Kluyveromyces lactis: one gene and its partners. The protein of the gene in region 2 purifies or fractionates together with the protein of the main gene of each other region. This does not show direct contact. Links are inferred from orthologs where the notes say so. Each region holds a gene or a part of one and is shown on either strand. Other genes may lie near its edges.

The links.
Region 1: the proteins of ECM16 (region 2) and SAS10 purify together in Saccharomyces cerevisiae (affinity purification with mass spectrometry, with the first as the bait; 4 studies listed by BioGRID). This does not show direct contact. The link is inferred for Kluyveromyces lactis from reciprocal best matches to the Saccharomyces cerevisiae genes ECM16 and SAS10.
Region 3: the proteins of ECM16 (region 2) and KRE33 purify together in Saccharomyces cerevisiae (affinity purification with mass spectrometry; 7 studies listed by BioGRID). This does not show direct contact. The link is inferred for Kluyveromyces lactis from reciprocal best matches to the Saccharomyces cerevisiae genes ECM16 and KRE33.
Region 4: the proteins of ECM16 (region 2) and UTP21 purify together in Saccharomyces cerevisiae (affinity purification with mass spectrometry; 5 studies listed by BioGRID). This does not show direct contact. The link is inferred for Kluyveromyces lactis from reciprocal best matches to the Saccharomyces cerevisiae genes ECM16 and UTP21.
Region 5: the proteins of ECM16 (region 2) and CSL4 purify together in Saccharomyces cerevisiae (affinity purification with mass spectrometry; 3 studies listed by BioGRID). This does not show direct contact. The link is inferred for Kluyveromyces lactis from reciprocal best matches to the Saccharomyces cerevisiae genes ECM16 and CSL4.
Region 6: the proteins of ECM16 (region 2) and RRT14 purify together in Saccharomyces cerevisiae (affinity purification with mass spectrometry; 3 studies listed by BioGRID). This does not show direct contact. The link is inferred for Kluyveromyces lactis from reciprocal best matches to the Saccharomyces cerevisiae genes ECM16 and RRT14.
Region 7: the proteins of ECM16 (region 2) and UTP8 purify together in Saccharomyces cerevisiae (affinity purification with mass spectrometry; 3 studies listed by BioGRID). This does not show direct contact. The link is inferred for Kluyveromyces lactis from reciprocal best matches to the Saccharomyces cerevisiae genes ECM16 and UTP8.

The regions. Positions count from the first base shown.
Region 1 is NC_006039.1:1,433,878-1,437,403, reverse strand, and holds SAS10 (rRNA-processing protein SAS10), read right to left. Parts: upstream 2,340-3,526; coding exon 501-2,339; downstream 1-500. Other genes in the region: MutS family protein MSH5, read left to right, coding at 1-403; RPC53 (DNA-directed RNA polymerase III subunit C53), read left to right, coding at 2,743-3,526. UniProt on the Saccharomyces cerevisiae protein: Primarily required at the G2/M phase. Essential for viability: involved in nucleolar processing of pre-18S ribosomal RNA as part of the ribosomal small subunit (SSU) processome.
Region 2 is NC_006042.1:1,597,097-1,601,338, reverse strand, and holds the start of ECM16 (ATP-dependent RNA helicase ECM16), read left to right. Parts: upstream 1-1,442; coding exon 1,443-4,242. Other genes in the region: DNA helicase RAD5, read left to right, coding at 1-52; SAS2 (histone acetyltransferase), read right to left, coding at 119-1,078. UniProt on the Saccharomyces cerevisiae protein: Probable ATP-binding RNA helicase. Required for 18S rRNA synthesis. May play a role in restructuring of the pre-rRNA.
Region 3 is NC_006042.1:2,272,077-2,276,358, forward strand, and holds the start of KRE33 (ribosome biosynthesis protein KRE33), read right to left. Parts: upstream 2,801-4,282; coding exon 1-2,800. Other genes in the region: transcription factor NDT80, read left to right, coding at 3,660-4,282. UniProt on the Saccharomyces cerevisiae protein: RNA cytidine acetyltransferase with specificity toward both 18S rRNA and tRNAs. Catalyzes the formation of N(4)-acetylcytidine (ac4C) at positions 1280 and 1773 in 18S rRNA.
Region 4 is NC_006038.1:253,201-257,246, reverse strand, and holds the start of UTP21 (rRNA-processing protein UTP21), read right to left. Parts: upstream 2,801-4,046; coding exon 1-2,800. Other genes in the region: inositol polyphosphate kinase VIP1, read left to right, coding at 3,343-4,046. UniProt on the Saccharomyces cerevisiae protein: Involved in nucleolar processing of pre-18S ribosomal RNA and ribosome assembly.
Region 5 is NC_006040.1:1,659,619-1,662,356, forward strand, and holds CSL4 (exosome non-catalytic core subunit CSL4), read right to left. Parts: upstream 1,395-2,738; coding exon 501-1,394; downstream 1-500. Other genes in the region: BNI4 (Bni4p), read right to left, coding at 1,711-2,738.
Region 6 is NC_006042.1:439,167-441,443, reverse strand, and holds RRT14 (Rrt14p), read right to left. Parts: upstream 1,107-2,277; coding exon 501-1,106; downstream 1-500. Other genes in the region: MET18 (Met18p), read left to right, coding at 1-338; RSC chromatin remodeling complex ATPase subunit STH1, read left to right, coding at 1,761-2,277. UniProt on the Saccharomyces cerevisiae protein: Involved in ribosome biogenesis, probably through modulation of rDNA transcription.
Region 7 is NC_006041.1:413,043-416,626, reverse strand, and holds UTP8 (Utp8p), read right to left. Parts: upstream 2,445-3,584; coding exon 501-2,444; downstream 1-500. Other genes in the region: KLLA0_E04687g (uncharacterized protein), read left to right, coding at 1-449; SYF2 (Syf2p), read left to right, coding at 2,685-3,350; KLLA0_E04621g (uncharacterized protein), read right to left, coding at 3,449-3,584. UniProt on the Saccharomyces cerevisiae protein: Involved in nucleolar processing of pre-18S ribosomal RNA. Also has a role in nuclear tRNA export. It acts between the steps of tRNA maturation/aminoacylation and its subsequent translocation out of the nucleus.

The DNA of each region.
Region 1 (3,526 bases), on a different chromosome or scaffold from region 2:
AATTAATGGTGTAGTATTCTATAAAACCGAGATTTTATTGCAGGTGATGGAAAAGGAAAATAAAGGAAATGCCAGAGATGAAATGATTACCTTTTTGTACAAATTGAGCACCGGAATTGCCACGAACTCTTTTGGTATATTCTGTGCCAAAAACTGTGGCTTAAGGCAGAGCATTGTCCAAAGAGCACAAGAACTTACAACTCAGATAGCAGATGGATTTGACATTGCTAAGAACTACAGCAAACTAACTATCGAAGAATTGAACCAATTTAGAATTGACCAGGATATTGCGAAAGAGTTTGTAGCATGGGATCTTGATCTTGAGTCCATCCATTCTGACAAGATACAGCATGCAATACGGAGAAAACTACAAAGAATATTGGATGCTGGACAAAGCTGCTAATTCGTGAGTACTCAGAAAGCAAAATATTACACGAATGAATAATGCGAGTTTTTTTTTAATGCATGGAGTATATAGATACACTAAATATCATCTAGTACTAATTTTTAAATTTCACAGACTTCGTTAGATTCTTCTTAATACCAGTCTTTTCACCTTCATACGCACCAGATTGACCACCAGAGTAGACAGCACGCACAGATTTGAGCTTCTTTTGAGCTTTTTCGTACTTCTTTCTCTTTTTGACACGCGAATTTCTGTTGTCCTTCTTCCTTCTTGGTGTTAGACCCTTATTCTTTAGAATTTGATAGTTGATTGCACGTTTACCATCTTCTGTAATGTGTTCGGCCAATTCAGCCAATTTTCCTTCCTTAGCAGCTTTCGCCACCTCTTTGTGTGCTTGAAGACGGGAATCTTTCTTGTGTTGTCTATCAGCCCTGATGCTCTTGTAATATTCATTCTCGGCATCACGTTTAATGTCTTTGGCAGTCTTTTCATCATCCGAGTTGATATCATCCGTATTAAGATCTGCCGCATTTTTATCATGCAAGCCACGTTTTCTAGCTTCTTCAAGTAGCCTCTGTTGTCTTTCGTAAAGTCTTTCTTTGTAGGGAATATCGTCATCACCTTTGAATCTATCAGTCTTCTTACTAGCCTTTTGATCGATTTTGGAAGTGTAGAAACGTAACGTCTTCTTCCTTGTTTTCTTTTCTTGGACATCAACATCTGCAATCTCATCTTCAACAAAGTCATCAACGTCTTGTAATATCCTGTCTTTCTGAACTTTGTTTGCAGCTCTGTTCGAAAGTTCGATATCAAAGTTTTCTTCTTCTTCGCTTTCCATATCACCCTCCTCGTCCTCATTCTCATCTTCTGCCTCATCGTCACTGGCACTTGCTTCACTGTCCAGTTCATCCTGTTCTTGTAATAGTTCTTCATCAAGTTCACCAATATCCGAAATATTTTCTTCAGCGTCAGAGTCTTGCTCAAAGCGTATTGCTTCTGTGTCCGGTAGTTCGCTAGCTTGTCTCCAAATTTCTTTACACTCCAAAATACGCTCCATTACCGGATGATCTTTCATAGAAATGAAATCTTCGTTATTCTGTAATTCATATAAGAAAACTGCAAAATATGAACTAATTGTTCCAAGATATGAAGATAATGCCATAATTTTGATCTGAATCAATTCATTATTCTCCTCAGTTTGTTTGAGTTTCAGCTCGTCTAAAACGGGTGATAATTTACTGAATTCCTTTGATAAAGGAAGGTATTCTGGGAAGGATGTCTTCAAGAAACCTTCCTTTCTCTCTAAGTCCATGTTGAGAACATCCCTAAGGGAGATTTCAGTAGGACGTTCTTGATCCTTTTGATCTTTAAATTGACCTAAATCGAATTCCTTAGCTTCTTTTACCCATTCTTCATCAACTTCATCCTCAAGATAGTCTTCCATATGAAGGTCTTCCAAATGTTTCTTCTGTTGGCGCAAAGCTTCCTTTTCTATCTCTCTTGCAGTCTCTTCATCGTCCAAGTCATCGGCACCGTAGTATTCTGCCTTAGAAGCACCCCATGCGTTCTCATTGTCCAGCATAGTACCACTCTCTTCTTCTGCATTCTCACCAACGTCTAATTTCCTACCAAAAACCTTCTTATACACAGCTTCACCTGTTAATTCTTCTTGTTCACTTTCATCATCTTCAACTTCTTCACTTTCATCCTCACTATCTTCATCTGACATTCCCATCACTTCTTCTTCTTCATCCACTGAAAGATCAAAATCATCTTCTGGTTCCCTTTGATCAAGACCTGCGTCCTCAAGTAGCACTTTTTCTCTCTTGTTTGCAAAGTCATCGACCTCATTCATGCCATAGGCAACATCTTCTTCCTGGTCTTGTCTACGATTAGACCCTCTTTTTGAGACCTTTGCACCTCTCTTTGCCATATTTGAAGTACAATGTCCAGTACAATTTAAGTCCAACTCAATATACAGTCGATTACAGCGGCTGATAGTAGTTACCTGTTATGCAGCTTGTCATTCTCTTAGTTATACCTATTCTCTGAATTGAGATGAGATGAGATGAGCTTTAACTTTAAACAAAATTTTCCAACATTGCTTTTTCAAGATTTTTCACCAAAATTGAAAGCTGCACTACTACTGGAAGAGATCACAATGAGATGAGCAAAGTTGATGCGCAAATAGTCAATGCAAGGGTTAGTATCCAGTAACTAGTCTTCGTTTTCATATTAGGATTTGCTGTTGAACGAAGAAACGGTCGAGAATCGCAGTATTAAACGCTTGAGTCAAGAAGTTATTTGCATCAAATTGTGATAGGAATCAACTAAAGATGAGTGGACGTTTACCTGGATTGAACCAGGGGAAACCATCAACCGGAACCTCGCTGAAGTTTAAGCCCAAAGTGGTAGCTCGTAAATCTAAGGAGGAACGAGATGCTAACGTTCTGAAGGTAGAAGAGCCGAATAAACAGGTTGAGAAGAAGAAATATACACAGAAACCACAGGGCAACCAGAAGAGGCAGCCGAAGTATTTAAACAACACAAGAATTATCACATCAGGCCCATTGGCAGCTGGTAATTTCTCTGGAGGATCTAATAAAGGGAATAATGGATTCATTAAGACGGAGGGTTCTCAAAGCAGTCTTGTGCAACGCGGTTTGAAAGCTGTTTCTGATGATGAAGCAGAGGGATCGGACGCAGAAGATTCAAAAGCTGGGAAGAGAATTAACATGGGGAAAGAGTATACAGAGGCAGACTTCAAGAAGGAAACTGACGATCTGTTTGATGAAGATGAGGATTCTAATACTGATGCAGCCATGAGTGAAGAGACCAGAGCCTCTAAACAATTGGCCAATCTTTTCCCTGTCAGGGCAGTTCGTATCAATCACGAAAAGGTGGATTCTCTACAGAAAGTTGTCCAGGAATCCATGTCAACTTTGCAGACCAGGGAACCAACACCAGGACCTGTGAAGCTAGAACCAGAACAATCGGATGGTACTTTAAATGACATAGTGAACGAGAAGGAACAGCAGTTAAAAGAAAAACTGCGTTTGCTTCAACTTCAACAAGATTTCCAATCTGTTGACAGCGCAGAAGCTCTCAGGGAAACAAATT
Region 2 (4,242 bases):
GGCAGAAAGGAGACAGAAGAGGATCGAGGAAATCCAAATGTTGTTTCAATAGACTATCATGACATTCAATCATATAGAAGCCTTTTAGGGCTTTGCATTTAAGCTGTTATTTAATTCGTTAATCATCAAGTAGTAGATATTCATCTTTGATCATAAATCCATGGGATACCTTGTTGCGTCTTGCCCATGAACGGATGATATTGAGTCTTATTTCAGAATCACTTAAACAATCAAGATATTTGAGAGCTTGAATTATATCATTGATTCTAAAACCAGTGGCCTCGGAAAGATCCTTCAAAGTGACCTGGGCCACATCTTTCAAATTACCTTCAGTCAACTGCCAAACTATTGAGAAAGACCAAAATTTAAGATAGCCAATTAAACCGAAAGGAGATAGAGGAACTTCAGGACCCGAAATCAGACCCTGACATCTTGATAAAGTGTAGGAAAACTCAATCAAGAGAGTACCCAATCTTCTTCTTTGATAGGGCGGAAAGACAAGAATACATGCAAGGTTATTTTGGTGGTAGGAATATAAGTCTTTTGAAAAAAATGCCATCGGTACTGTAGAATTGTTCTCATACACAATATAGAATTCGAAATGCTTAACTTTGAAGTAGACAGACTTGTTATCAAGAAATAGCTTAGTAAATAGACATAAGCATTGGCAGAAAACTTCATGCTTAGAACCTTTTACCCTTCGTATAGTGTATTCGGGGCTTCTGTATTTTATTCTACCGGGTGGCTTATTCTTATATCGGCAAAAGCACTCATGTGCGATTAACTCTGCTTCATCATCAGTGTACTTGAAACAATATTCACATACGTATAGGGTATCAATCCAATACTGATCTTCAAACTTCTTTTCAGTAGGGCTTTGTTTTGCGGTGTGCTCATTGTTCGATTCCTTGAAGCCCAAGGTCCTCTTATTTCTTCCAAAATAAACATTACTCCCGTACCAAGTTGCAAATCTTTTATTCAAGCCAAATTGGACGTGCCTAATATTAGGCTTGTCAAGAATACCATATATTTCTTCATCCTCTGTTGAGCTGTTGTGCTTATCAGGTTTGGGAACCATTCATTAATGATTTGAAAAGAGGCAAAAAATGCGATTTATCACGTTTCCCAAATTTAATGAGTACTTGAAAACCCAATTAACGGTGGAATCAACTGCTCTTTGAACTTAAATGTACAAAAGATTGCCTATATCTTTGAATTATCAAAACGTTGAAAGCGACTTTCTTTTTTTTTTTTTCATCTTCCTTTATGGCAGAAAAAGCTTTAAAGCTCATCGCATCTCATCGCATCCAAGCTCACCTGCATCTATATATCAAAATCTCGTTGATAACAGGCTGGTAGTCTGAATGTTATAGGCCTCTGTGACATTAACAGTCAAGAGAAGTACCTCGCACGTTAAACGGTCAAAAAATTGAACAACAAACATGGGTACCTATAGGAAGCGCTGGAATGAGAAAGCACGCGCGGGTCAGATGTCTAAGTTGAAGGAGTTGAAGAGAGTAAGGAATAGGCAGTTCACCCGTGCACTTGAAAATTCTTCCGATGCTGATTCTGAAGAAGGTAATTCATCTGAAGATGAACATCATGAATCACCCGATCATCAGGAAGATACGAACGCTGCTGTATTGAAACCCATGACGGAGGAAGAGAAACAAGAGAAAAAGCGTAAATTGGAAGAGCTATTCACACCTAAGGAAACGAAGGTCTCTAGGACGAAGAAAAAAAGGTTAGAGAAGTTCATCGAGCATCAATTGAAAAGAGAGGAGAAAAAAGTTTTGATAGAAAAACTTCAGGACTATAAAATTGATACTAAGCTTTTGACAAGTTCTAAGATTTTGGGACAAGGAAGGCAAACTAAGAGGCAAGGGATTGAAGAAGCCCTCAAATTAGAAAGAAATGGACGTGGTGATGAAACTACCAGGGAAATTCTTTACGATGAAACTGAGGTAAGGGATTGGTATCAAGATCATCCAGAAACTAGGCCCAGTCAGGAAAGCACAGCTGAAAATTGCAATTCGGATAGTGATGAAACGGACCATACCAGTTCAGATCACCCTATTTCGGCAAATACTGGGGGATTTATTGATAATAGACCCAGTAAATTTGGTGGGTCAGGTTTTGGTTTTGGATTCGGTAATGCAAAGGTGGTGAATAAAAGGGCCTCGAAGAAAAGGTATAACTGGAAGCAAAAGGTAGAGCAAGAAGAACGTAGAAGGCGTAAACTGGATGATGATCAGGATTTTGAATCTGACGAAAGTGAATCAGAAGAACATTCATCCACTGCAGAAAGTGAACCTGATGAGAGTGAATCTAATAGTAATGCTGATAGTCACAGCGATGATGAGTCGAGTGAGTCTGACGGCGAGGAAAGATCGGATTCAGAAATAGCGCAGTGCAGAAACGTAAGTTCTTCAGTTGCCCAAGAATTTAAAGAGTGGGCAAATCAGGAAATTAAAAAGCTTGAAGGTAGAGATGTAGAAATGGTTATGCCTTCCTCCAACATCAAGGTCGATAGGACCGAGAGACCTGAAGACTTTGAAGATGGACTCAAAGCAGATGAATTTAATGTGAACGAAAATTCAACACGTAAGGCTTTTTATGTCAAGGTACGGAGATCTGATGCTGTTCAAGCTGTGAGAAGCGCACTACCTGTTTTCGCCGAGGAACATAGAATTATGGAAGCTATCCATCATAATGACGTTGTAATCATTTGTGGTGAAACTGGTTCAGGTAAAACGACACAGGTACCGCAGTTTCTTTACGAGGCAGGATATGGTAATTCGTCCTCAACTGACACGCCTGGGATGATTGGAATAACACAACCTAGAAGAGTGGCCGCTGTCTCTATGGCTGGACGTGTTACTAATGAGATGGGTGATCATGGCGAATATGTAGGATACCAAATTCGGTTCGATTCTTCTACCAAGGATAAAACAAGAATGAAATTTATGACTGATGGTGTTTTGCTAAGAGAGATGATGAACGATTTTAGACTTTCTAAATACTCTTCTATCATTATCGATGAAGCTCACGAGAGGAACATCAATACAGATATTTTGATTGGTATGTTAAGTCGTTGTGTCAGCTTACGTGCTAAGGAGCATGCAACTGATCCGGCTAAGTACAAAAAACTTAAACTAATTATCATGTCTGCCACCTTGAGAGTATCAGATTTTAGTGAAAACCCTACTTTATTCCCTGTTTCTCCACCTGTCTTAAAGGTCGACGCCAGGCAGTATCCAGTGGCTGTACATTTCAATCGTAGAACAGCTTATAACTATGCTGAAGAGGCTTTCAGGAAGACGTGTAAAATACATCAAAGGTTGCCTCCTGGTGCTATCTTGGTTTTTATGACAGGACAGCAAGAGATCACGCACATGGTAAAAAGGTTAAGAAAAGAGTTTCCTTTCCCCAAGAAACATCAAACTCTCATTCAAAATGACCACATACCTACAGTGAAAATAGATGCCAAAACTGCAGATGTAGAAGCTGAAGATATCGACTTCAGTGTCAGAGTTAGAGAGGAACAAGAATTTGACGATTGTTTACTCTCTGATGAGGAAGATATTGAGGACAAAGAAGAGGACGAAGAAGAAGGTTTTGAAGAAACACTTGAAGAAGGTCAGACGGATAGAGATCCACTATATGTTCTTCCTCTTTACTCGCTATTGCCCACCAAAGAGCAAATGAAGGTCTTCCTTGATCCCCCACCAAACTCCAGATTATGTGTTGTTGCTACTAATGTGGCAGAAACATCATTGACCATACCGGGAGTAAGATACGTCGTTGATTGTGGTAGATCAAAGGAAAGAAAGTTTGATGAAAATAATGGTGTTCAGAGTTTCGAAATTGACTGGATTAGCAAAGCTTCTGCTGGCCAAAGAAGTGGTAGAGCAGGGCGTACAGGGCCTGGTCATTGTTATCGTTTATACTCCTCTGCAGTTTTCGAAAGAGATTTTGAGCAGTTTTCTAAGCCTGAAATTTTAAGAATGCCTGTGGAGAGTATAGTTTTGCAAATGAAGAGCATGGCTGTTCATAATATTGTGAATTTTCCATTCCCTACCCCACCCGAAAGACCAGCTTTGATGAAGTCAATAAAGCTCTTACAACACCTAGGTGCACTCGACAGTAATGAAAGAATCACTGATGATGGTAAAGCAATGAGTTTGTTTCCGCTAAGTCCAAGATTTTCTAAAATGCTGCTTGTTGGTAATGAAAGCGACT
Region 3 (4,282 bases), about 670 kb from region 2:
CAATAGACTCGCTTAAAACTTCCCTGAAGAAATTGGTGAATTTCCTGATAATCTTGGAGAACATGGCAATAGTTTGATTGGATGGTAAGTTCAACTCTTTCGTTATGTCATCAATGCCCTTGTGTTGCAAACCAATTGCAAGTAGTATACACGATTGTACGCTTGATAATGATACACCGTCACCCAGCTTTCCACTAAAGTATAGCAATGCCATCATTGGTAGAAGATCAACAATGACATGATAATCCAGTAAGTTGTTAGCATAGCTTTCTAACCTCTTTAGATCGAATGGAGAAAAGATGGAATCCAATTGGTCCCTTGTTAAAACCTTATTCTGGAACGATCTGCCCTCCGAGTCTTGGTCTAGTGTTTCACCCTTCTTAGCAGATTCAATGACATTTAACGCTTCGATGGCAGTGAATTTCTTAAAGTCGAACGATAATAAAGACAAGAATCTTTTATGGAAATCTTTGGCAAATTCTGCCAGCCATTTTGATTCACGACCTTCAAGAACTTTAACCATAACACATGTATGTTCACCAGTCAAATCATTCGCTGTTTGACGTAAGTAAACTGGGACAAATCCGTTGTTTTTCCAGAACTTATGTAAAGATTTTGTTAAACCATATGAAACACCTAAGTAATGCAAAAAGTGAGGGGTTTGTTCTGAGAGTTTCAGAAGCAATGGTGGCAACGTCTTTGCATCCCTTAATTTGATTTCATCTTTCAAGAGGTCTGCTTTCTTCAAATCCCTGTCATCGACTCTCTTGATTGTGTAGTCCTTTTGTACCGTATCTTCATTCAAATCGGTGAATTTACCTTCGAAATGATCTTTCAATAACTCCAGAGCCCTAGACCCATAACCCATAGAGGCGTATTCCGGATTGGTTGCAATCCTAACAACACGGGCACCACTCAAACCGGCAAATTCTTCATCTTGAAATTGCTGTGAGATTAGCCATGGAATTAAGTCACCACCAGCTCTTTGACCTCTTGCCAAAGAATTTCTGACAGAATCCTTCGAGATCTCACCTTCCAATGCGACCTGGATGACCACTAAGGGATCAGGTATTCTGCCGCCATCTTTTGGATCGATGGGAGGCAATAAAACGAATAGTTGATGAGCAGGTGCATCACTCATTAATTGCAAGTCGTTAGGAGAATTCTTGTAATGCGATGCGACATAAAGAGCCATCATCTTCTCCAGAAAATTTTCAGAAACAGGATGATAAGAAAATAGAGTATCTCTATTGACGATGAATAAATTACATTGAGATGGATGAGGTGTGCCTCTAGCAGCAAATCTTGGATTTTTGATTAGTTGAACGTCCAAACAAAGTAATTTATTCAACCATTTTTCAACTGGGTCACCAGGAGCGTATCTGATAGGTTCATCTAAGACAACTTCTCTCAAAGAACGGCCACTTGTTTGAACTTCTTGTTTCTTTGAATCTCTGGAAACAAGTGCTGTTTCGGAATCTTCACGGCCAGTACCGTTGGATTGAGTTCTTAGCTGTTGAATCAATTTCAAAGACAAAGATCTACCGGTACCTTCATAACCGTTAATAGTGGATGCCATAAACACTAAGTACGGACCCAAAAGCTTCTTTACAAGTGGTAGTGGAATTGCGGCAGCTTCATCAATGACAACAAGTTCTGCCTGTCCCAACACATGAGAATCATTTGGAATAATATATTGAATGGTCTGTCTATGTTCTCTCTTGATGTCTACTCTGACTATGGCTTTGTTGAAGCTTGGATTGGTGGACTGAATGATATCATAATCAATGTGCTCCTGATAGCCTAGAGCGTCAAATCCTTTGAAAATAAACTCAAATAAAGTCTTCAAATTCTCAGGGGAAGGAGATGTTACAAAGATATTGGAGTAACCATGGGATACAGCAGCAGCAATAGAAATACCTAGAGCAGCTGATTTACCTCTACCTCTACCTGCCGTCAATGCTACAGTTGAATTTAAAGTTTTCTCTGAAATGGCATCAATGAAGGTCAAGATTGCATGAGCTTGATTAACCGTTTTTGAAAGAGCAACTAATGATCCCGCAGGCTGAACATCTTCTAAAGACACTTTCAATTCTTTTAGTTCTTGATTTTTTGGTGAAATTTCTTCATCATCCTTTGGTGGAAGTGGTTTTACGTTTTTTCCTCCAGATATAGGTAAAACGTTTAACTCACTATCTACTACCAAACAGTTTTCATTCGAACCCAAGGACAAGATAAATCTTTCGTTGAATCTTGCCACGACATCGTCATGAGCTTCCGTTCTATAACGAGAGTGGATATCCATAGTCATAGTGTATAACTGTTTTAGAGAGGAAATGGACTTTAACATGATAACAATGATACCACCACCTTCAACGGTTTCGATGGTTCTTGCTAGCAAATTTGGAGTCAAAGCTTCAAAATCTTGTAGGATACACATACCATAAGTGTTACCCAAAATTTTTTCAGTTTCCTTATAATAACAGTATCGAATGTTTTGGTTAGAGATGAAAGTTTCAAAAGGATCTTGTTCATTTATCTCTCTGGTACCTCTCTTGATCTCTTTCTTAATCTTTGCTTCTCTCTTCTTCCTGTGTGAAGTGAAACCCAAGAGTTTCTTCTTATACGTCCATAACACGGATTTATTCATTTTGAGGTCAGCACTCATCATTAAATAGTGCAAGTTCGGTAGCTGGTTACGAGCATTGTCACCAACGATAACGAAAAATGATCTCTGATTTGTTTGAACACCATTTCTGATGAGAGCTGGGATACGAGAATCAATAGCTTTTTTACCCATCGTAATCTAACTTCTGGTTTAAAGTTTTAAGAACACACTCTTTAACAACAAACAATGACAGTTACGTTTCGCTGGAAGTTCGACCGTTGGGAAGAGTTAGTGTTTTTAATGATTTTTTTTGTAGTAACGAAGTACAGTAATCAGGTATTTTGGGGAGAAATAAACGTCTCGTAATACTCAGATAGCTTCTCAGCAAACCACCTCATCTCATTTGATCTCATCTCATCTCGAAATAAAATTCCTACCTAATACGATGAAATAGTAAAAAGACAATGAAAAAAAAAAAAAAAAATTAGGCAGAGAAAAGAAAAGATACTACTTACCCGGAATTATTTGATGAAAATATACTGTTACCCGCATGAATTTCATGCGCAGTGTAATTTCGGCGGCTAATTTCAAGAAATGACTACGTGTGCATAATGCACCATTATGTGATGTCGACTAATATTTTAAATTCATATTTAAACTTCAGTAGTAGTTTTCATGGGTATTAATTAAAGTTTTCTTCATGACTGACGAAAAGGGAAAAACTAACATTATATAAATACCAGTATTTTTGTGTCACAAGGAATAAGGGCAATATTCTTATGAAATAGATCCGATGAATAAGATAAGAGGTTAAGAACTGACATCAGAACGAGGTTCGATTATAAGGTTGTTTCTTTACCTGAACAAGCGCAGTTGTGGTTATCTCTTATACGGAACGTACGATTCCTAGGTTTTATTTTGGTTTTATTTTTTCGTGGTCATTCAGGTAAGCTCGGCGGTTATTCCATAGCAATAGCCAGGAGGAGAGTGAGAGCTAACTATATTTTCTTTTAATAGGAACAGAGTATAGTTTTATGTGATCAAACTTGCTATGATGGAGGATTTGGACCATCTGAACGATGAGAATATCAATATAGATGAGAACGAATTTTTGGAAACACTTGATAATGCTGACGGGGACGTGATCAAAACTTTTAGGAACGCTGACGGGTCATTAAGTAGTCATTTTGACAAGAGAAAAGTTCGTATTGCTCCAAGGTCAACATTGCAGTTCAAAATAGGCCCAGGCTTTACGCCAGTGGTGCCCAATCACAAGATATTGAACGATTTTGGACAGATTCAAGAAATCAAATTGGAGCCTCGGATTGATCGAGGGTTTGATTTCATAGATGACGATTGGATTGGTTATAAAAGAAATTATTTCACCGTGGTAACTTCATTTGACACACCGGGGACTGATCATATCGAGTTCATGAAACAAGCGTATCATTTAGATAACGGTGTGGAGATCAAATACTTCGCTACCAAATTAGCCGCCAAGTGTTTGGAAGATGATAAATTGATTAACCTAGTTCAACACACTGCAAAGCGAGATAAAGGCCCTCAATTTGCTCCTCCAATACATGTTATTGCACCTGCAAATTTGCCGAAGCACCAGATTATAAGAGATGCATCGAACGTGAGAAACGAATCCAAGATGAAAAAATTTGATAG
Region 4 (4,046 bases), on a different chromosome or scaffold from region 2:
CGCTGCCGCAGAATTTTACCAATTCATCCAATGATTGGCCCTTGCGGTGATTGGTATCCCAATGTTGCAGAGCAGTCTTGATATTTTGATTTGTGTTATTAGAATGAATTACATCACCATGCACTCTGAATAAGATGGTAATATATGCCTCATATAACTCAAAGTTCTTGTTGGTAGCCAAACCTTGAGCCAAACTTTCAATGAACCGACATAGCTCATCAAATGGTTGAAAAGCTTTCAAAGAACGAATCTCCAAATCAATATTTGAGGGAGTCATCTGGACTAATTCGTCAAGGAATGCTGAATAATCGTTTTTCTGCGAACCTTCTCTAAGTAGCTTAGTGAAATCAGATTCGAACTGAGCACCAAGTTTTCCTGAAGGTTTGAATTTATTCAGTTCACTAGCAGCATTAGCTTTGGCAGCATTTCGCTCCTGTTGTAGTTTAGAGGAATCCAAACTCAAATTCTCAGCGCCTTCCCTGGCTGAAGCCTCATCGCCCACCTTATCTTTTGCAAGTTGTAAGAAGAATGGAGCCTGCTCTGGTTTAACTGGAGCCTCCTTTGGTTTCGAACGTTGTTTAATTATATCGAGATTGAGTAAGATATTCATCTTGTTCCTTGGTCCCAAAGAAAGAGTCAATAAATCTTTATCAATTTGCTCCATCGAGTCATATTTACCAAAGAGATCTTCGGAATCATCTTCCTCTGTATCAAAAGCCCCTTCCAAAAAGTTGGAACCACCATCTCCGGAAACGTTTGGAAGCATAACAGTGGCAAATTCTTCTTCGTCGATCTGTCTGGTTGATACTGAAATGAACTGAGCTCTATTAGCCCAGAGGGAAATACCATTACCAGATACACTAGTGGTAGCCAATAAGTCACCATTTGGTGAGAATTTAATGTTAGTGATGACATTTTCCACTTTCATACCGTCTATACATCCACCTGTTGGTAAATCCCAGGTTCTAATTGTGGAATCTAATGACGAAGAAACGATCCAACGTCCATCAGGTGAGAAGTCAAATGATGAAATTCTATTGGAATGCCCCCAGAGTTGACGGACCACTTTTTGAGTAACCGAATCTACGACAACAATGGAAAGGTCATCTAATGCTAATGCGAAGAGGTCAGATGATCGATGGTATACCATTGATGTTATAGGTGAATCCAACTTTAACTTTCCCAAAAAAGTGCTTTTGGAAAAGTCATAAAATCCGACAATACCATCTAACCCACATGACACCATCTTTCTGTTCATACCATCCATTGCAATACCAGTAACTGCCTTCTTATGTAAACGATAAACCTTTCTCTTCTGTCCACTTTGTAAGTTGTGAACACTAATACCACCGTTTGAAGAGCCAACTAAACCAAAGTTACCACATTGTGATATAGCTACGCTCTTCGCAAACCCCTCATCATTAGTTGGGATTGTCCACCTACCAACTCTTTTTGTTCTCGAGTTCCATGTTCTTGCAAACTTTTCCCCTTTATGAACCGTCAAGATGTTTTCCCATTGGCCTTGTCTGTTATTTTCGATGACTATTGATGTAATCTCAGGGAACTTCTCACCAATGGTGCTTCCACCAATCCTATTTCCATCTTTATTCTTATGCAGACGCTGCGATAATTCCTGCGATTGTGCATCTTTTCTTAAGGAAAACCCCCATAAAGATCTATCTTTTGAAGCAGAAAGAATGAAATGAGATTGATCGTCAGCAAATGCAATAGAGGATGGAGGTTGAGAGTGACCACCTCTTGACCTTAATAATCTGGCTGGTTGAATGACCACTTCAGAGTCACCTTGCGATAAGGATGGATCGAAAACAAACTCTTTTAACTGGTTGTCACCACCACAAGTGACAACGATCGGCTGACCGTTCAAGAATGATGCTCTTGCAACACCACCATTCACTTCCTTGTGAATGCCTTTTAACACTTGAACACGTGAGCGATGATCTAAGTCATAAAAGATCAAATCACCACTGGTTGATGCTACTGAGATATGAGAAGCACCATCCGTTCTGAAAGAGATTGAAGAAATTCTCGTCGGCGTTTTAATGGTTCTGATTTTCTTACCCTTACGCAAATTGAATAAAATAACTTCACCAGATGATGTACCAAAGGCAACGATGTCTAAAGCAGGTGCAGGTTCAGCAGTGGTGATCTCATCGGGGAACTCATCGGAAGTGTACAATTGTTTTCCGGTCCGAACGTTAAACAAGGTGAAATTAGACTTAGTCACAACGAGCAACTTGTTAACATATGTTGGTAAATGCACCAAATCAACAATATCACCACCTTGTAACTTACCAATGGTGAAATTGGTGTATAATTCAGTAGCGAATTTATCAGATGGGGAATTTTTCTTATAGATATAAACAACATTATTATCTGTAGAAGCAATCAAATATTCACCGAAAACGTTAATTTTGGTCACCACGGTATTTGGATCAGGTAATTCAATCAAATGTTCTAGCTTACCTCTCTTATAGATCCCAACTTTATTCTTAAAACTTGCATAAACGTAATGAAAATGCGCTGCCAAACAAGTAATGTCTCCCTCTGTCTCCTTATCTGAAACGAATAGCAGATGCAAATTATTGGCATCAAAGATCTGAAACGACTTACCAACAGAAGTCACAATGTAGAAGGTCGTACCTAGGGTACCAATCGCATAAGGAACTCCAGTAGATACATTACCTACAATTCTATACGGAGAAAATATTCTGGAAGCATGTTTCCTAACAGCGCCGGAAGAACCAACTCTTCGTTTCTTTAACGATCCATCCACTGTCATGATTGCTAATGCACTGTTCTGTGACTTTATGCAATCGCTTAATTAACTGAACAACAAGCGAATCCAGTAATTAGCTGCTGACGATAGGTATCTATCTCATCTCATCTCATCTCATCGCTTCTTTAAAACGTCGAGCTTCGAAATTTTCATCGCTGAAACAGAAAAAGAAATCAGAATATCACGTGACACATAAGGGGGATCAACCTGCAAATGTGATTCTTAGACTTGGATAGAGAAGATACTATGTAACTTCACCATTAGATGCCATTAGATAGTAACCATACCACAGTCTGAAATCTCACTAGCGAAACACATGGAGGTGTTGCTTAGATACTGGTCTTTACTTCAGAATTACTCACAGTTTTCTATCAAGTTTTCACTATTATCCTTCACATATAAATTTATATACAAAATTAAACACATGGGGAATAATCGTACCATGCATCCGCTTATAACAGAAATCGATTAATTGCAACGATCTACAAAATAATTTTAACTGAAGTTTCAGCATTGGTTATAATCAAATTGCAGAACTGCCAGTCATGTCTTCTCCAGGTTCAATTTCTGATGAGGGTCAAGAGGCAATCAACGGAAATACCATGCCTCCACTGTTTTTAGATTCGAATACGAAAAAGGCTATGGAATCGATCGCTCCTATCCTTGAAGGGTTCACGCCGAAGACCTCTTCTAGTGAGAATAAGTCGTTGAAGTTGCCACCTGCTGGTTTTACCTCTGATGATGATGATGAGACAAATAAGCTCGTCAGAACGCTTAGTATTTCTTCTACTGGTTCGACAGGTCGTCATATGACTCCCAGTGTCCTAGGCACCTCATTCGATAGCATGAATGGTAACAAGCTTCAAAGACTGAAAAGTAACCAAAGTGGATCAGCATCAGTTTCTGCTATTCTGGAAGGATCGCCTAGTCCATCTCCTATGCTGGAAGAACCTCATGCATTCCCCTTCATTCCGCAAGCATTAGTCTCTAATGAAGCTGTCACAACCAACACTGACGGATCAACAACTCCAAGTTCGACAAATTCTTCGAGGAAAGCTTCAACTTCCTCGTCCAAGCCTCAGCTACCAAAGATTGGTAAAATTGGTGTTTGTGCCATGGATGCGAAAGTGTTATCCAAGCCATGCAGACATATCTTAAACAGACTAATTGAACACGGTGAGTTTGAGACTATAATTTTTGGCGATAAAGTTATATTGGATGAAAGCATTGAAAACTGGCCTACTTGCGA
Region 5 (2,738 bases), on a different chromosome or scaffold from region 2:
TGGCTTGCGTGGACCTTTTTGAAGCTCATCCATCCTTTTATTGATCCGTTGACTCGTGAAAAATTGGTTTTTGATGAACCATTTCCAAATTATGTGCCACCTGATCAACTCGAGACGCTTTATGGTGGTAACCTCGACTTCAAATATAATCATGAAGCCTATTGGCCTGTCCTAACTCAAATTGCAGAGAAGAAGAGAAAGCATTATCTACAAAGATTTGAGAAGTTCGGAAAAAAAGTTGGACTGAGTGAATATGATTTAAGAGGTGACCACGATGAGTTGAAATTCCCAATCAACTAAAAGTCCAACTAACTTTTCTGATAATAACATATGATATTCAGGCGTTGAATTCACAATGATCTTAGTAGAAACTTCCTCAATATTCCCAATATGCGTGAAGCCTAATACGAAACTAATGTAAATGTAAATGAAAGTTGTAAATGTATGTATGTGAAGGTACCTATAGACTTGAACAAAAAGCTTGTTGTGTTCCGACTATATTAGAAGGGCTTTGCACATTTTCGTTTCTCAGCGACTCCGGTCTTTGGTGAAATCATTGTCTGCCAATCAATTGCATACATCTGTTCTCCAGCTCCGTTAGAAGACTTAGCGAACACCACGCCCAAGTCATTCCTTGCTGTAGTTAAATAGTAATGGGTACCATCGCCAAGTGAGAGCACTTGAGCACGTATTATATCCCCAGGTTTAAAACTTTCCATAACTTTTACTCTATCTCTATCAGTGGCCCTTACATCTTGGGATCTAATTATGCCCCTAAAAGTTTCTCCCAAATCCGCGGACACTTGCGAAACGGAAAACGTAGACGCACCAGATCCACCAGCAGCAGCAATTATGCCAGTCCCATTGCTTCCGACACCAGAGTCGATCGGCAAGGGCGAATTCTCAACTGCTAAAATCTCAACTGTTATTCTTTGCAAACTGATTCTGGTCACCCTCGCCAGTACGATATCGCCCTCTTGCGGAAGGTTATTGACAAACTGGTCATCAACATACTTGCTAGCAAACTTGCTAGGATTTGATACTGATACTTTGAAACTTTTTATAACTCTACTATTGCCAGAGCTTGCATCCCCTCCGGTGGTCTCATGAGATTCTACAAACGTCGTATTCTCTGAGTCTTCTTGATCGTCGTCTTCGATAATATCTGCTGGAACTTCTTCCACAGATACAGAACCTTTTAATGTGGCTACGATAATATCAACGTTCTTGCCGTTAACTCTAAAATTCTCCTGTTTACAGCCAGTGCCCGTTAGGAAGCGTATTACCACTTCTTGCTTGTTATCATCATCAACATCAAATATTGGACATATAAGATCACCGGGTATAACAGTCTGGGGGAAATTTTTAAAAGGCTTCATTTTATAACGATGCATATAGACAAACCTTACTGTTATCAAACACTCTTATTATCTTACAGGCCATATTTAAGCTAGTTTGGTATTACTGTTAGCTCATCGCATAAAGCAGCTCTTTTTTTATCATTTTCATAATGAGTGAAACAATTTTCAAAATTTGGGAGATGTTGAAGACAAGTTAGAATTATTTTCAAATAGTAGGGTAATATTACCAAAGCTTTCAAAGCGGGCTCAACACGAAAGCTACGTGCACGATTTGAATCCATATAAAGGGAAACATAGAAACGCATGGTAAATGATTTAACTACTATGATTACATGTATTTATAGGTCTACTAAAAGAAGTGAGTGTTGCACATAGAATCTTCGTGAATGTCCATTTCTGCTTTAAGCTCATTCAGCTCGTCCTTTATCATTTGGGCCAATTGAGGAGTAAGTTGATTGCATGTTGCCGAATCAGGATGCCTATCATACTCAAGTTCACCATAGGTCTCATAAAGGACTATTTGAGAGGAAAACTTAACAAGTTTTGCTGCATAGCTAGATCTTTCTTCCGATTTCTTCGACATCTGATCTGAGATATGTTCAAGTCCCGTAAGCCCTGAAAGTTCCATGGTACTGTTGAATTGTGGCGCTTTCAAACCCCTAAAAGACATCGATATAGGCCTGCTCATCGATGTTGTGATATCTGGTAAAAATGCGTTGATCTTTGGGGATTCTTTTACTGCATGTATGCCATTAAAATCTTCGTTCTCAAAATCTTCCTCATCATAATTATCAAAATATAAACTGCTATCAGAAAAAGTGTTTTGGTTGCTACTGCTAACATTTTCTGGTGATGTGTCTCTTGTTTTTATAGTACTTGATATGTGTTTCTGATCATCCAAACCAGTCTGTTTTTGGTTGAGTACTGAACTGTTTGTCTTAATTTCTGGGGAGTTAGTAAGTTCCACAAGAAATGAGTTTTCTGTCTCAGTATTGAAGCTGGGCTTGGATAGAGAGTTTTTCACAGATTCTTTGACCGGATTTAGAGTTTCATAGTGTGAACGATTGTCAGAATAGAGATCAAAATTTAACTCGATATCTTGTCCAAAGTCTATTATACTTGCAAATTCCATGATATCTGAGATTAATTCGTTGTCTTCATTATCTGAATCTTCAAGACTAGATTTAGTTGCCTTATTCTGCACCAATGGTTTTTCTAGTTGATCTTCTTGATCAGATTCCATTGTCAGCTCGTTTAACTTTTGCTCTATGGAACCAAAAGAAAAATCTCTCTGTTGTGGTGAAATTGTGAAACTTGCACTTCGAGTACCATGACTATTGTCCAAATCAGAACTGGCGGATATTTTTTCATCAGACG
Region 6 (2,277 bases), about 1.2 Mb from region 2:
TAGAGAATATCGAAGTCAGAATATCATCTCTAGAGACACTAAAAAATACTGTGAATCAAATGTCTCAGTTGGTTACTGAACATGTCCATTCGTTAGTTCCGCTGTTACTTAACTTATTGGTCCCATCGAAATATAGTAACGTGAACGTAAGATTTCTGTCATTAGAAATTCTTCAGACTTTAACAACCAGTGTTCCCCTTAACTACTTGATCCCCATGAAGAATGAAATTATATCAAAACTTCAAATTGGTTTAGATGACTCGAAGCGTAGAGTGCGCAAACAATGCATAGACACAAAACAGGCATATTTGGAATTAGGACAGGTACCATTTGAGTAGTTCTACTTCCTTCAAATAATGAATATACTTAATTAATATATATGAACCGACAATGAACACTTGAGTCTACTGAGTATTTGATCATATGCTGAGAGAAAAAAACACACCTTTGTATGAGCCGCAATGAAAACTCCGTACCTGTACGTCTTTGTAAATATGAGCTCAATAATCTTCATCTTCGTCTTCTGATTCCTCCTCATCGCTCGCACCAACTGGAGCCAATCCAGGTGTGAGAGCTTTATATCTGTGGTCTTGTATCGATTGTGGTAGCTTCTCCTTGAACTGTTTCTTCTTTTGTCTCCTAGATTTTACCTTCCTTACCTTCTTTGAATCTTCTGAGTTGGCAAGTATTTGTTTCTGTAAATCTAACAGTTCTTCCTTATCGTCATAATCCCAACTTTTCAGGTTGCGAACATTTTTCTTCACCACTTTATCCAAATAGGATTTCTCATGATCCGTAAGAGAATTATCTACTTGATGCTTTCTTAGTACTTGTAGCTTAGCCTTCTGTTCTATATCCTCTTGGACTTCTTTTCTTCCAGATATCTTCTTTCTCAACATTTTCTTCTCCCTCTTTTTGATCCGGTATACATCCTTTTCTTGTACCTCTACTCTTTTCTTCAAGTTCCTATCTATTAGTTGTGCTTTCGAGCCTTTGTCTCGGCTTGTTTTCTTTCTTTCTGCATTAACCGACGCAGAACCCGGCAGTACGCTTTGCAACAATGCGTTCACAGCGTTGGTAGCATGAGCAGCTGCAAGAGATGACATTATAATCAGAGAATTTTAGTTCTTCAAACCTTGATTGTCAATACAGAAGACACTTTTGTAACAGTTCGAAGCACTGTAACTATCTCAATCGGGGAACTTGATAGTTCACTCTCATCACATCTCATCTAATCTCATCTCATCTCATCCATGGCGTATTATCCAAATTTTCATTTTAGGTCATGAAATATTAAACAAGAAAAGAAACAATGGTGCCCACTTTAATGCGAATATTTTGGCACGTGATCGAAGTTGGTTTATTACCCGGTTCTTGTTGTTGTTACCCGTACTTTGGCCCATGGCAATAGTGAATGTCAAAGAAAAAAGTAAACACGATAAATAAAATTGTGAAAAAGAGGATGAATTTGAAAACAGTTTGATTTTATTCTGAATTTAGTTTTGACACGAGAAAAGGACGAACAGAGGTTTGTTTTCAACACGGCAACGGCGGCTAAAAAAATAGACGCACCGAAAGCGAAACAGTAAAGAATTCTAGGGCAATAGTACCTGTTTGTATCGCGTTAGCTTTGTGACAACTCTGAATTTTTTTAGCAGGACTTCAGTTATTGTTTTACCCCCTTTCAGAATAAAAAAGGTTTAAAGCTCACTAGCGGGAAGAGACCTGGATCACGTTAAGAAGTGTGAAATAAAACAACAATGGATCAAGTCGTCGTAACGAATAACGCGGATACAGCGCCTCCTTATCCGCTTCCTATAGTGAATTCTGAGAATGTTGATAATGGGAATTCCGAAACTGAAAACCAGGACGTTAACGGCAATATCGAAGACAACCATGTTGGTGCTGACAAAGGAAGCAACAACAATTTTCGGAACGACAGTGGTAGTGCTATTGGACAGAACCAGATTGCCGCTGTTCTAGAAGAAATGAAGAAGGTGGAAAGAGTAATCTTGCCACTACCTGAAACGAAAGAACAATTAGAAAATTTGATTTATCGTTACAGATACATTTCTCAATATAGAGATCATAATAAGCTTGAAGTTGAGGCTATTGAACAAATTTTCACCCAAATCTCGGATAAACAGGAAGAGTACAAGGAAAGGCTGCTGAGGTTAAGAGAAAACGCAGCCAAAGATATTCAGTGGGACGAAAAGTTGTTGAAGGAGCAAATGGTAAGCTTACAGCTTTTGAGTAAAGATATAAATATACCGGATG
Region 7 (3,584 bases), on a different chromosome or scaffold from region 2:
AGATGGAGCATATGGTGATATCCAACGACATTTTCCACTGTGCTGTAGGTGAACACACAAGTAGATGGAATAAGACGGAATATGGGTACGTTTTACTTGATGCGTTGGCGAAAAATACTACGGGCATTGCCAAGGAAGAACTATTGCAGAAATGTTTTGAACTTTTATCAAACCATACGTTTAATGAGGGCGAAGATGTGGATTCTGTGACGACTTCCAGTATTTATGTACCGCCTTTAAGAATTACTAAAGGTGCAGACGCTATTGGAACTTCATTGCCAATAGGCGATTACTATGGAACTAGATCCCAGATTGTCATACTTGTCGACAAAGATAACAGAGTTACGTACGAGGAGCATGTGATTTATGAAAGTGATGAGGATTGTGAAACATACTCTTTCATGGATCCAAAAGAGGTAATTCAGTTCCAGTTCAATATGGAAAGCTGATGAAATCATTTTACGAAAAGTTCTAATGTTTATGATTATACTACACACTTATTAGCATTCTAAATAGTCCACTGTGTAAGCTGAAATAGGTTGTGTAGAAGACGAATTTGTTGATGAATTAGATTTATTGTTAACAACCGATGAATGCTTGGTGTAATGCTCTGCCAAATGCAAAAGTTCTATGTTTTGTGACACTACAGAAACCTGCGCATCGACAAAAGAGGAAAGTTTCTCTAAATATTCATCGTCTAACGCAAACAAACCGATGGAATCTATTATTAAACTCATAAGTTGGAAGATTTGTGGCTTATTAAGTTTCAAGTCCGAATCTGCCTTATTCGAGTTCAAAATCATATCCAAAAAGTTTGTGATATCCATCTTCTCAATTTTTCTTATACCTGCTTTGATTGATTCTTTCTTGTAATCTTGTAGCACTCTTAGCGTAATATCAAAACAGAGCTCTGCATTCGTTATATTGAAAAGCTCGGTTAACAAATCGTCAAGTGGAACATTCGGACAAGTAACAATAGCTTGTTTGAAAAGTCTTGGGTTATTTTTCAACTTGGTTAATAAGCCCTTAGCGTGAACCGGTGGGAATAAAGGGTGTGTTAGAAGGTATGTCAATGCTTTTGGATATTCATCCTTGAAATTTAGAAACAAGCAATCGATTATTTGAGTGAGTAAATCAGAATCATTTAAAAATCTGTCATTGTCTGTATAATATTCCTTGTCTAAGGAAAGCATCTTAAAAAATATAGAATCAAAGTTCTCTATTTTTTTACAGATATGGAGTTGTTTTATAATGCGTTCATAGTCTGGAGATGGCAATTCCACATCGTCGTCCTCATTGCTTTCTTCAAAGAGTTTCTGTAGTTTCTGCTTTTGTTTAACCATGAACCCTTTACCCATCGCATCTTTTAAGGTACCGGTACCAACATCAATGTTAATAACATCCAAGTAACTCGTAGGGTTAGCACCGTTTTTAGTTGTAACATCTAATGCTATAGTTTTTCTATTGTCTTCAGAGTTTTCTTGAACAACTGCAGTAGAGAGTAGTTGAATAGCTTTGATGTTCTGTAAATCCTTTTGGAATAGTATAGCATTGTATAACAAATCCACAAGATATATGGTATTATCAGCAGTCAACAATACACGGTTTGAAGAAACTGGTTTGATGGATACAACTGCATCCTTGGAAATGAAAGGTAGCTGAATGCTAGTTTGTAGTTGCAAATGTGGTAACTGATAGATTGATAATTCATTTGAGTTCTTTAAAACATATAATTTCCCGAACTCAAAACACAACTTTGCATTCTCTAAAGTGTAATTTTCTAGTATGATAGAATTTAGTTCAATACATGAGACGGACTCACTCCTAACTTGGAAAAGTTTGTAACAGATTTTCTCATCACTTAGTTGGCATAACACGAAAAAGAAATCGTTTCCCTGCCCATCTTGGAAGAATTGAACAAATCTGATATCATCATAAGATATATCAATAGTATTTGAAAGTTTCAATTCATAATCAAATGTTTGAATCAGTCCATTCCTTAAGATAACGAGAACTTTCTCTGCTTTAGAATAGATCTTAATGCTAACGACTTCAGATTTTAGTTTATATTTGAACTGAGATGTGATTTCAGCATTTGAAGATGACACGGCATCTTGAATCATCGGCTTAGTAGCCAAGTGTAAATGTGATACCTTTCTAGCTTCCAATCCGTAACACCAGACTTCTGTATTGGCTGCATCTTCTACCACGTCACATGCAGTAACAATGTTCGTAGAGGGGATTGGCAAGTTAAAAACCAGCTTCGGGGTTGGATTAATCAAGTATTGTGATATACTGGAACCTGATATACCAATATTCACTTTATTGGCTGATGGTGAAAGATTATCAACAACTTGTAAGTAGTCTGTTTGATTCGCATAATTATTCAATGATGGAATCTTAGGTAGAGCAGAGAGCCTAAAAGGCTGTGAGATGGATGCCATTTTCTCAATATCTTTCGATAAATAATATCAAAGCAAACTGTATTGAACACAGGATATTTGATACTTCACCTCGTCCTTTCAAGAGCAGCGGTTGAGTGTATCTTTGCACTTACAGCTCATCGCATCTCATCGCATCTCATCTCTTCTTCTGAGTACTTCAAATTTTTCAAACTTTACTTTTGGGAGTCAGTCCGGGTAATATATAGTGTCGAAATGCAAACAGAAACAAGATGAGATGCGATGAATATACTCAGATATCTTCCAGGTGACAGAAAGTGTAGCCCTTATTTGAATGCCACAAATCACATTGTAAACTGGACACAGGCTGATAATAAATATTCGAAGATGAATGATCTAATGGAAATTGAAAAAAAGTTGAAGAGTTTGCGGAAACAAAAAGTGGAAGTAAGTATAAGGAATAAGAAGGCCATAATAGCTGAAGAGAAGAAAAACTCTGAAAGAAGAGTATACAGTATGGCTGACGATGGCGAAGATAAAGCTAGAAGTAACAAAAGCGAACCAGAAGATCCGATAAAATTGGCAAACTACTCAATACGCGAATATGAAAAATGGGAAGCTAAGACACAGAATTCAAGACATAATAAAAGCGTGATGGGGGACTTCCAAACTATAGCAAAGAACAGCTACAAGAAGGAAGTAGATGCGCTTCCGAAGGATATATCACATCCGTTGAAAGGTGGAATAACTGAGGATGGGAAGGTTCAAGTAGAAGATAATCCTGAACTAGTAGAAAAAATGGTGAATGATTTGAACGAACGATCAAAGAAAAGGTATATGGTACGGAAACAAAAACTAGATAAACAAAATAAGATCAATTTGGATGATGGATTTATTAATGACAAGAATAAACGGTTTAATGCAAAATTGAATAGCGAGTTCAAATAGGCATGGGAAAATAGGTATATTGGGCATTTACATATGAGATATTTACGATTGATTATGAATAATTATTTTATTTTAACGATATATAGAGGTGGATTTCTTCATTTGTCTTCAGAATCTAGTGAGTTAAGGACTTCTAGATCTTCTTCTAAGCTCTTGACACATTGCTTGTAATGGATCAATTGGAAATTATGGAACAACTTAACCAAAGAAATGATCTCAGAACTATCTGTAAGT